Macaca mulatta: one gene and its partner. The protein of the gene in region 1 purifies or fractionates together with the protein of each later gene. This does not show direct contact. Links are inferred from orthologs where the notes say so. Each region holds a gene or a part of one and is shown on either strand. Other genes may lie near its edges.

Evidence for each region.
Region 2: the proteins of JUNB (region 1) and ATF3 purify together in Homo sapiens (affinity purification with mass spectrometry; 3 studies listed by BioGRID and IntAct, counting the BioPlex papers as one, with this or other methods). This does not show direct contact. The link is inferred for Macaca mulatta from reciprocal best matches to the Homo sapiens genes JUNB and ATF3.

What each region holds. Positions count from the first base shown.
Region 1 is NC_133424.1:13,345,935-13,349,949, reverse strand, and holds JUNB (transcription factor JunB), read right to left. Parts: upstream 2,484-4,015; 5' UTR 2,183-2,483; coding exon 1,139-2,182; 3' UTR 642-1,138; downstream 1-641. UniProt on the Homo sapiens protein: Transcription factor involved in regulating gene activity following the primary growth factor response. Binds to the DNA sequence 5'-TGA[GC]TCA-3'.
Region 2 is NC_133406.1:70,339,905-70,344,139, forward strand, and holds the start of ATF3 (cyclic AMP-dependent transcription factor ATF-3), read left to right. Parts: upstream 1-1,370; 5' UTR 1,371-1,443; intron 1,444-4,235.

The DNA of each region.
Region 1 (4,015 bases):
TCGGCAAAGCCGCCCAAGCAGCAGCAACCCTCTGCCCCGGTCAGGTCAGACGGAGGGGGCGTGGGCGCGGCGGGGCCCAGGCGCCAGTGTCTTGAAGGTAGCACAGAGGTGGCTCCCGGGGCCCAGGAGCGCTGCCCGCCCACCGCGGGCCCTCTGGACCCAGGCCTGGGGCTTTCCGTGCCCGGGCAGCCGCCTGCCCGGGAAAATCCCGGCCCCCTTCCCGGCGCTGCGGCCCTGCCCGGCAGAGCGGGGGAGGGGATTCCCGGAATCTGCCCAGAGACCGCGGTCGCGTCACTGGGCAGAATCGGTCCTTGTATGGGCAACGCTTCCGCTGCGTCAGCGGGGAAAGCCCCGGCGCGCACTGCTGGGCGGGGCCGCGCCTGCGCGCTCCGCGTCTCGCCCCCAGCGCCCTGCCTTCAGCTACTGTGTCCCTGGACTGCGTCCCGCGCCCCAACCATCCAACCCTGGAGATTCGGGGACGCGGGAAGGGTGGGACTCCCGGGTTGGGACCACAAGATGCCTGCGCAGAGCCGACGAGGGGGACACATACAGGACCGAGCCACCAACAGCACTGAGCTGGGGGCACACCAGTGCTTTTTTTTCCCTCCGCCCTCCCAGCTTGGAAAAAAAGACAACAGAAATTAATAAAGAACAAATTTTTTTTTTTTTACTTAAATAGATTCAATAAAAAGAACAAACACACACACAAACACAAACACGTCTTAAAATAAACTCTTTAGAGACTAAGTGCGTGTTTCTTTTCCACAGTACGTTGCAGAGAGGGGAGGGCAGGGGGCGGGGGTCCCCTTCCCAATGTCCCCGCGGGCTTGAGTACCGGGCGGCGGGGCCAGCTCCGCCGCGATCGCCCCCTCCTCCCCTCCCTGTTAAATACACAAATATATTATATTCAATATGAATCGAGTCTGTTTCCAGCAGAAAAAAAACATACAAAAAAATGTGGAAGGGGGGGCTTGTAAACGTCGAGGTGGAAGGACTGGGCGCAGGGCGGGAGTTCAGTGTGGTTTGCGGCGCCCCCAGGTCCCAGGATGGGTGCCCACCGCCTGCTCCCTGGACCCCAGTGGGAGACGTGCGCCCAGCCGTCCAAGCGAGGGGGTGTCCGTAAGGGGACAGGGGGCGCTCAGAAGGCGTGTCCCTTGACCCCAAGCAGCAGCTGACAGCCGTTGCTGACGTGGGTCATGACCTTCTGTTTGAGCTGGGCCACCTGCTCCCGGAGGAGGCCGGCGGTACTCGACAGCCCCGCGTTCTCGGCCTTGAGCGTCTTCACCTTGTCCTCCAGGCGCGCGATGCGCTCCAGCTTCCGCTTCCGGCACTTGGTGGCCGCCAGCCGGTTCCGCAGCCGCTTGCGCTCCACTTTGATGCGCTCTTGGTCTTCCATGTTGATGGGGGACACCGGCGGCGTGGCGTCCCGGCTGCGCGCCTCCGGCACGGTCTGCGGTTCTTCCTTAAAGGTGGAGGCGCTGCGGCCCAAGCCCAGCTGCGCCGGGTGGCCACCGGCGAAGGGTGGCGCGTGTGGGAGGTAGCTGATGGTGGCCGTCGGGTATGAGCTCCCGGTCCCGACGGCAGCCCCGGCGCCTCCCGAGGACGCAGAGGCTGGGGAGTAGCTGCTGAGGTTGGTGTAAACGGGAGGTGGCTCCGGGCCGGCGTAGACGCCCCCGGGCCCAGCCGGGGGCCCCCCGCTAGCGCCCAGGGACACGTTGGGGGGTGTCACGTGGTTCATCTTGTGCAGATCGTCCAGGGCTTTGACAAAGCCGTCGGCGAAGCCCTCCTGCTCCTCGGTGACGCCGCCCCCTGCGCCCCCCGCACCTCCACCGCTGCCACCCCCGCGGGGGTAAAAGTACTGTCCCGGGGGTGTAGGCGTCGTCGTGATCACGCCGTTGCTGTTGGGGACGATCAGGCGTTCCAGCTCCGAAGAGGCGAGCTTGAGAGACGCGCCGGTGTCCGAGCCCTGACCAGAAAAGTAGCTGCCGCCACCGCCGCCCTCTGGGCCGGGTCCCCGAGCCCCAGGCGCTTTGAGACTCCGGTAGGGGTCGGCCAGGTTGACCGCCAGGCTCGGTTTCAGGAGTTTGTAGTCGTGTAGAGAGAGGCCACCAGGGGCCCGGCCGTATCCCGTAGCTGTGTATGAGTCGTCGTGGTAGAAGGGCTGTTCCATTTTAGTGCACATCCGGGCGGCCCAGGCGGTCTGGGGAGGGTCCCTGCGGGGCCGCCCCGGGCCTCGCTGCAGCGAGCGGCGAGCTCTCCGCTGCGGTGGCCGGACTGGGTGCCTGGTCGCGCGTTCTCGGGGGCTGGCGCGGGCGGGGAGCAGCCAGCCGGCAGCTGTGCGCAAAAGATCTGTCAGGCTTCCCGAGCCCCCGTCGCCCTCTCCGGCGCGATAGCTTTCCTGGCGTCGTTTCCCCCAGCTCCCAGCTCCCAGCTCCCTGCTGGCTCCGAAGCTGGCCTGGCCGCTCTCAAGGTCCCAGCCGCTCAGCCTGAGCCACACGCCTTTATACCGCGCTAGTCAGCCACGGAAGTGCGCTCCGATTGGCCGTCGCCGAAGCCGGGCCCCCGCGCCCCCCTCTTCGAGCGTGGGGAAGGGGAGGAGGCGGCTCGCGTCACTGTCAGGAAGCGCGTGTCCTTGTAAACAGCGGCCACGGGCCGGGTGGCTCGGCGGGCCTGCAGGGGGAGGGGCTCAAAGGACCCCGGGGTACGCATGGAAGGAGGCCTGGGGGCCCAGGCACATGAGTGAGGGGTTTCAGGGAGGAGGATGATTTCATTGAAGTCCACTGGGACAAATACCAGGACCTGGTACGCAGCAAGTAGGTTGAGGATCTCAGGGTGTGCGAAGAAACCCCTGAGGTACCCAGAATACGAGAGGGGTAGGACAATTCATTGGGAGACCCCAAAAAGCAGGAATGAGGGTTAAGCACGGTAAATCGGGAGGGGTAAGGAGACACCTGACCCAGGAATTGACTGGGGGTCCCGAGCATAGAAGGATGCGGGGCTGGAATTTTCACAGGATGGAGGAGGGGAGAGATCAAAAGGGGTGAGTGGGCGGAGCTGCACGACCCATTAAATTGAAAGAAATGAGTAGGGTCCAGGAGCCCATGGGAAGGTCTGAGGGCTCTCCCGTAATTGGGAAGGAGGAATTAGGGGAAATCTAGGTATGCAGAAAGCGAGTAAGCGTCCTGCGGTACACTGAGGCAGGTAAAATATGCAGGGTAGAAGATGGAGACAAGTCTGCCAGAAACTGGTGACCACTGGGGTCATCTGCGAAGCCCGGATGAAGGAGAGAGTCAGAAGGGTCCGGACACATCTTCGGAGCAGAGAAGACAATAAGAGGGTACTCAGTTGACATGCGAGGAGGGGGCTTTGAGGGTCCTGCGCACCAGGACTGCTGGATCTTCCACGACTGGTGCTCCCCCTCGTGGGTAACCTCCTAGGCATCTGTATTCTCTGTCCCCCATCCTAAAACTCTCCCCTATTGACCCTGGGCTTTGCCCGACACCGTGTCGGCTCCTGGAGCCTGGACCCAGCCCGACGGCTGGGGCGCGGTCGCCCAACCCCACTCCCTTCCTTAGAAACAGGCTGGGGAAAGAGCGCCGAGGCAGGAAGTGTGGCAACAGCCCCGGGGGAAGGAGCCCGGCCCTGTCTCCGTCACTTGGATCCTACGGGACCGTGCGCCCCGCCCTGGGTCCCACCGCATCCTGCGCCTCGGAAGAGGAACCTGGGCGTGCGAGCCCCCGCGGAGGCCCGGGTGCGTGGAGCCTGCCCAGCCACGGAAGCCTCCAGCCACCATCCTCTCCCCTCAAGCAATGGTTCCGCCCGCGGCGCCTGCAGGGGACCGCGGAGGCAGGCAACATGGGACTGTTCCATTGGCCCGACGGCGGGGGACGCAGTCGAGGAGCGGGGCCTGGTCGCCATGGCAACAGGCGGGAGTCCGCAGGCAGGACTGAGGGCGGGGCGGCCCCCGGAGTGTCTCCCCGCCGCCCATATTAGGGCACAGGAAGAGGTGGGACCA
Region 2 (4,235 bases), on another chromosome or scaffold:
CTGCTGAGGTCTCAGCTCGAATCTCGGCTACGGGGCCCCGCCTTTCCCGCCACCCTGGCTTGAGGGCAGAGGGGATTTCTGCTGCGGGTTCCGCCTGTGGTCAGTGCGTCCCCATTCCGGGCCGTCTGGTCCCAGTCCAGTAGGCTCTGGGAGCAGAAGAACCCGTGAAAGCTGAAGATGGGTTTTCCCTAAATATCGCCTGAGAGCGGGGCGACCCCCAGGCCTGGGCAGGTTCGCGGACCCCAAAGCACCTTCTCTTTCCCCCTAGTCCTGGCCACTGGCTTCCGCCCCCTCCTACGCTCCCACCGGGCTGCCTCTGATTCCTCCGGGACTCCGATCTTTTCACGCTCTTGTTGGTTTCACTGAGACGTTCTTGTCAATTTCAAACGCTTTGTGATTGAAAAAAAAGAAGAAAAATCGAACCGATACGGTCCTACCACTCGCCCTAGTCTCGGAGCCCGGAGCTGTCCTGCGTGTGCGTCTATGTGGAGGGTCCGGGGCCGTGGGCTCCGGCGCACGGTGCCAGCAGAGGGCTGCCCTCCGCTTTTGTGTTAACGGGCGGGCTTCTCGCGGTCCCCGCCGCGGAGGTCACACCCGGCGGGTAATGGCGTGGATACACCGAAGAGTGACTTTGGACACCTTCCCCACATCACAGACTAACGCTTCTGCCCCTATTCTGTCCCTGCTAGAGAAGTAGGAGGCCAGTGGGGGAGGGGGTATTTTCCTGAAGCTCCAGAAAATGACCACGCATTTTAGAGAAAGGTCGTGCCCGCTTCCCAGCCTCACCTAGTCTGGGCTGGGGCCGGGACCCGCCTCCCCACCTTCCCCGCCCCCCCGCTCCTCAACCTAGCGGAGGGAGAGATGCCAGCGCGGTGGAGTCATGCCGCTGGCTTGGGCACCATTGGTCATGCCTGGAACACGCAGCAGCGAGTACGCACATCTGGCGGCTATCCCAGGCGACTCCGGTCCTGATATGGAGAGAGAGGGCGGGCTGGTGTGTGTCTCAGTAAGCGAGGCTGGGGGAACGCGCCTCGGCTGGCTCCTCCCCGAACTTGCATCACCAGTGCCCCCCCATCTCCACCCGCCTTCCGCCCCGCCTTGGCCCCTCCCCCACCCCCTTCCTCCGCTCCGTTCGGCCGGTTCTCCCGGGAAGCTATTAATAGCATTACGTCAGCCCGGGACTGGCAACACGGAGTAAACGACCGCGCCGCCCGCCTGAGGGCTATAAAAGGGGTGATGCAACGCTCTCCAAGCCACAGTCGCACGCAGCCAGGCGCGCACTGCACAGCTCTCTTCTCTCGCCGCCGCCCGAGCGCACCCTTCAGCCCGCGCGCCGGCCGTGAGTCCTTGGTGCTCGCCCGCCGGCCAGACAAACAGCCCGCCCGACCCGGTCCCGACCCTGCCCGTCCTCCGGACCCTGGCCGCCCCGAGCGGAGCCTGGAGGTGAGCGCTGGAAGCCAAGGGAGTGAGCGCGACGAGGGCGGCTTGCCTTCATTCCCTTCGCGCCCCTCTAAGTAACCAGTCCGCCGACCCCTGACCCACCCCAGATCCGCGCCCCCAGTCTCCGGCTTGGAAATAACTCTGGCTTTAACTTCTTCTAAGCCACCGCTGCTCCTCGGCGCTTTGAAAAGTTTCCCGCAAAGCGAAAGAACTAACTTTCTCTTTTGACTTGGGGCGCGAAAGGTTCCTGGTGACGGAGGTCTGGCGTCCACTCTGCCGCCAGCCTGGAGCGCCGCTTCTCTCCGCAGACGGCGCTGGCTTGCGGGGCTGGGAGAGGGCGTGAGGTGGGTGGGCGGGTGCGCTGGGGTGTCCGAGGCTGCCCAGCTCGCCGTCCCGCTGCATCCCTCGCTTCGAGACACGGCACTGAGGGAGCCGATCCTTCCCGGGGTTGGCAGAGAGGCACGAAGGCGGGAGGCTTGCGGGAGGGCTGCCCCACGCGCGGAGAGGAATGAATGGGGAAGGGGCAGGAGGGCGGGCGGCGTCGCGTGCGCGGCCGCTGGGGGTCGCCCTGGGCACCCCGGAGCGCTGGCGGCAGGACCGTGAAGGCAACCCCGAGAAAAAGTTAGCTGGGATAAGTTTGGAAGTGGAGAGCGCTGGTGTCGCGCTGTCCCGGGGCGGACGACGGGAAGGGCTCCCGGCACCGGTTGGTGTCTGGAACCCGAGCCCGGGACTCCCACACACCTGGGACTCTCACTCTGGCTTTTCCTTCGGCCGGTCCGCGGGAGACCCACCGTGGCGGGGAAGCGAGGGTGTGGAGCCAGTTGTGCAGATATTTGAGAGAATGGCTTTGTGGTCTAGTGCCAGGACTCTGAGCGCTTACACTGCAATCGATGTCGTTGAGCCTCAGTATGCCGAGCCGGGAAATAGGGGCACATGGGCAGTACCGGCCCCCTCTGCGTGTTGGAGGGCACAATGCAGTGGTTGGACCAGATAACTGCTAAGGTCCTTTCTGTCTGGAGATTTTCAGATTCTAGGGTGGTGTAGTGGGAAGAAAAGGAGCCAGTGAGGGGACTTGAATGCTGTGGGTCTCTATCTAATGTCATTGACCGGTGTCCAGACAGTGGGGGAAAGGGGACTTTTCTGCAGGGCATCTTTTCCCTCACCAGTTTTCTTTCCACTGGATTCCTTCTCCTTCTGTGCTCCTCCTATCCCCATTTTTGTCTCTCATCTACTTCCTTTCCTCCTAAACATTTTCTTTTACCTAATTTCATTGCAGAGGTCACATATGCTTTCTTACAAATAAAATAGTTACTAAATCCTTGATGAAGCCAGAAAAAAAAAAAAAAAAAAGGAGAGCCAGAAAATCTGGATGTTCTCTCAATGTACCCCTTTCGTTGTAGGTGACAGTCACATCTTCTGTTCGAAGTTTCTGTCTCCACAATTTAAAGTGAAGGCAAAAAATTGGTATTACTGTCCCCGTTGTTTTGCAGTTAGCATTGGTTGTAGAATAATGCTACAACATACAGGCTCCTGCTTTGAGGATATCCTGGTCAAAGATGGGATGTGGTGAGGATTGCAGTTACTGTCAGAATTGTTTCAGAGACAGCAAAGAAGGCAGCACCCCACGCCCGCAGTGGGGCTAAGATACAGCACCCAGCATCTGTGGCAGTGCTGGGAGCCTTCTTTCTCTCTCTCTTCCTCCTTGCCCTTTAGCCATTATAGAATTCCTTTCTCTCCATGGCTCTTTTCTTCGATAGCCCCTCCCTATCTCAGTCCTGTCAAAGTCTCCTCTGTGGTTGGTACCAAGTGCCAGGACTCTTGACCCCTTATCTACCTGGCTAATGGCTCTGTTCTCTGGTTGCCTTGTTGGTTGATCCCTTGAGGTGGTGATACCTATTGGTGATGGAGCAAAATGAGCAGTTGGTGGGTGGTCAGCAGCTTGGCATGGGATGGGCCACTCACCAGCTTTATGACCTCAGGCAAGTCATTTTTACCTCCCTGGACCAGTGTACTCATTACAAAATGAAAATCTGACCTAGATGATTCTAATATTGAGAGGGTGTGATTTCCATTAGATAGAGTCCATGATTCCTTTCTTTTTAAAATTGGCTGGGCATGGGACAAGGCCAGTGGCTTCAAGTGTTACCCAGCCAGGGGAGGAGGAAGGACATAGTCAAGATGCCACAGAAGCTTTCCAAGGGAGAAATGGTTTTTAAGTGAGAATTGGTTTTCTTTCAAATATGTAATGGAGAAATGCTGGTGTCAGCAAATAGTGGGGTGACATCTACCTGGTCTGCGAAGAACTTGGGGTCAATCAGAGTACAAAAGAGGCTCTGAATGACCTGAATTTCTTGAAGGTTTTAGTTAATTCCTCACTAACAGGGCTTTGTTGAATTGATAACAACAGAATGAGTTTTTCCTGAAATGGAGAAGATGGAGTCACAGTAATAATGACTACCCAGTGTATATGTAAATCTCATATATCCTTCTTAACAGCCCTTTGGGGCAGGCAGTTTTGATCTCAAATTACAGAGGAAGAGAATGAGAGGCCCAGAAAGCCTAAGTGATTTGTTGGTGAGTGCTTAGTTTGTGATTGGCGCTGATAGGTTCAGAAACATTGTCTCTGGCCCTTGATGCCCAGCTTTGCACCTACAATCTTCAAGAGGTCTGGGAGGAAGACCAAGATATGAAGAGTTAGTGAAAGGCCAGTATTGGCTTCCTAGTAACATAAGATGGTTAGCGAGCAATGCTTAGTGGAAAGAGGATGAAAATTAAAAGTGAAAATTCAATGTAGC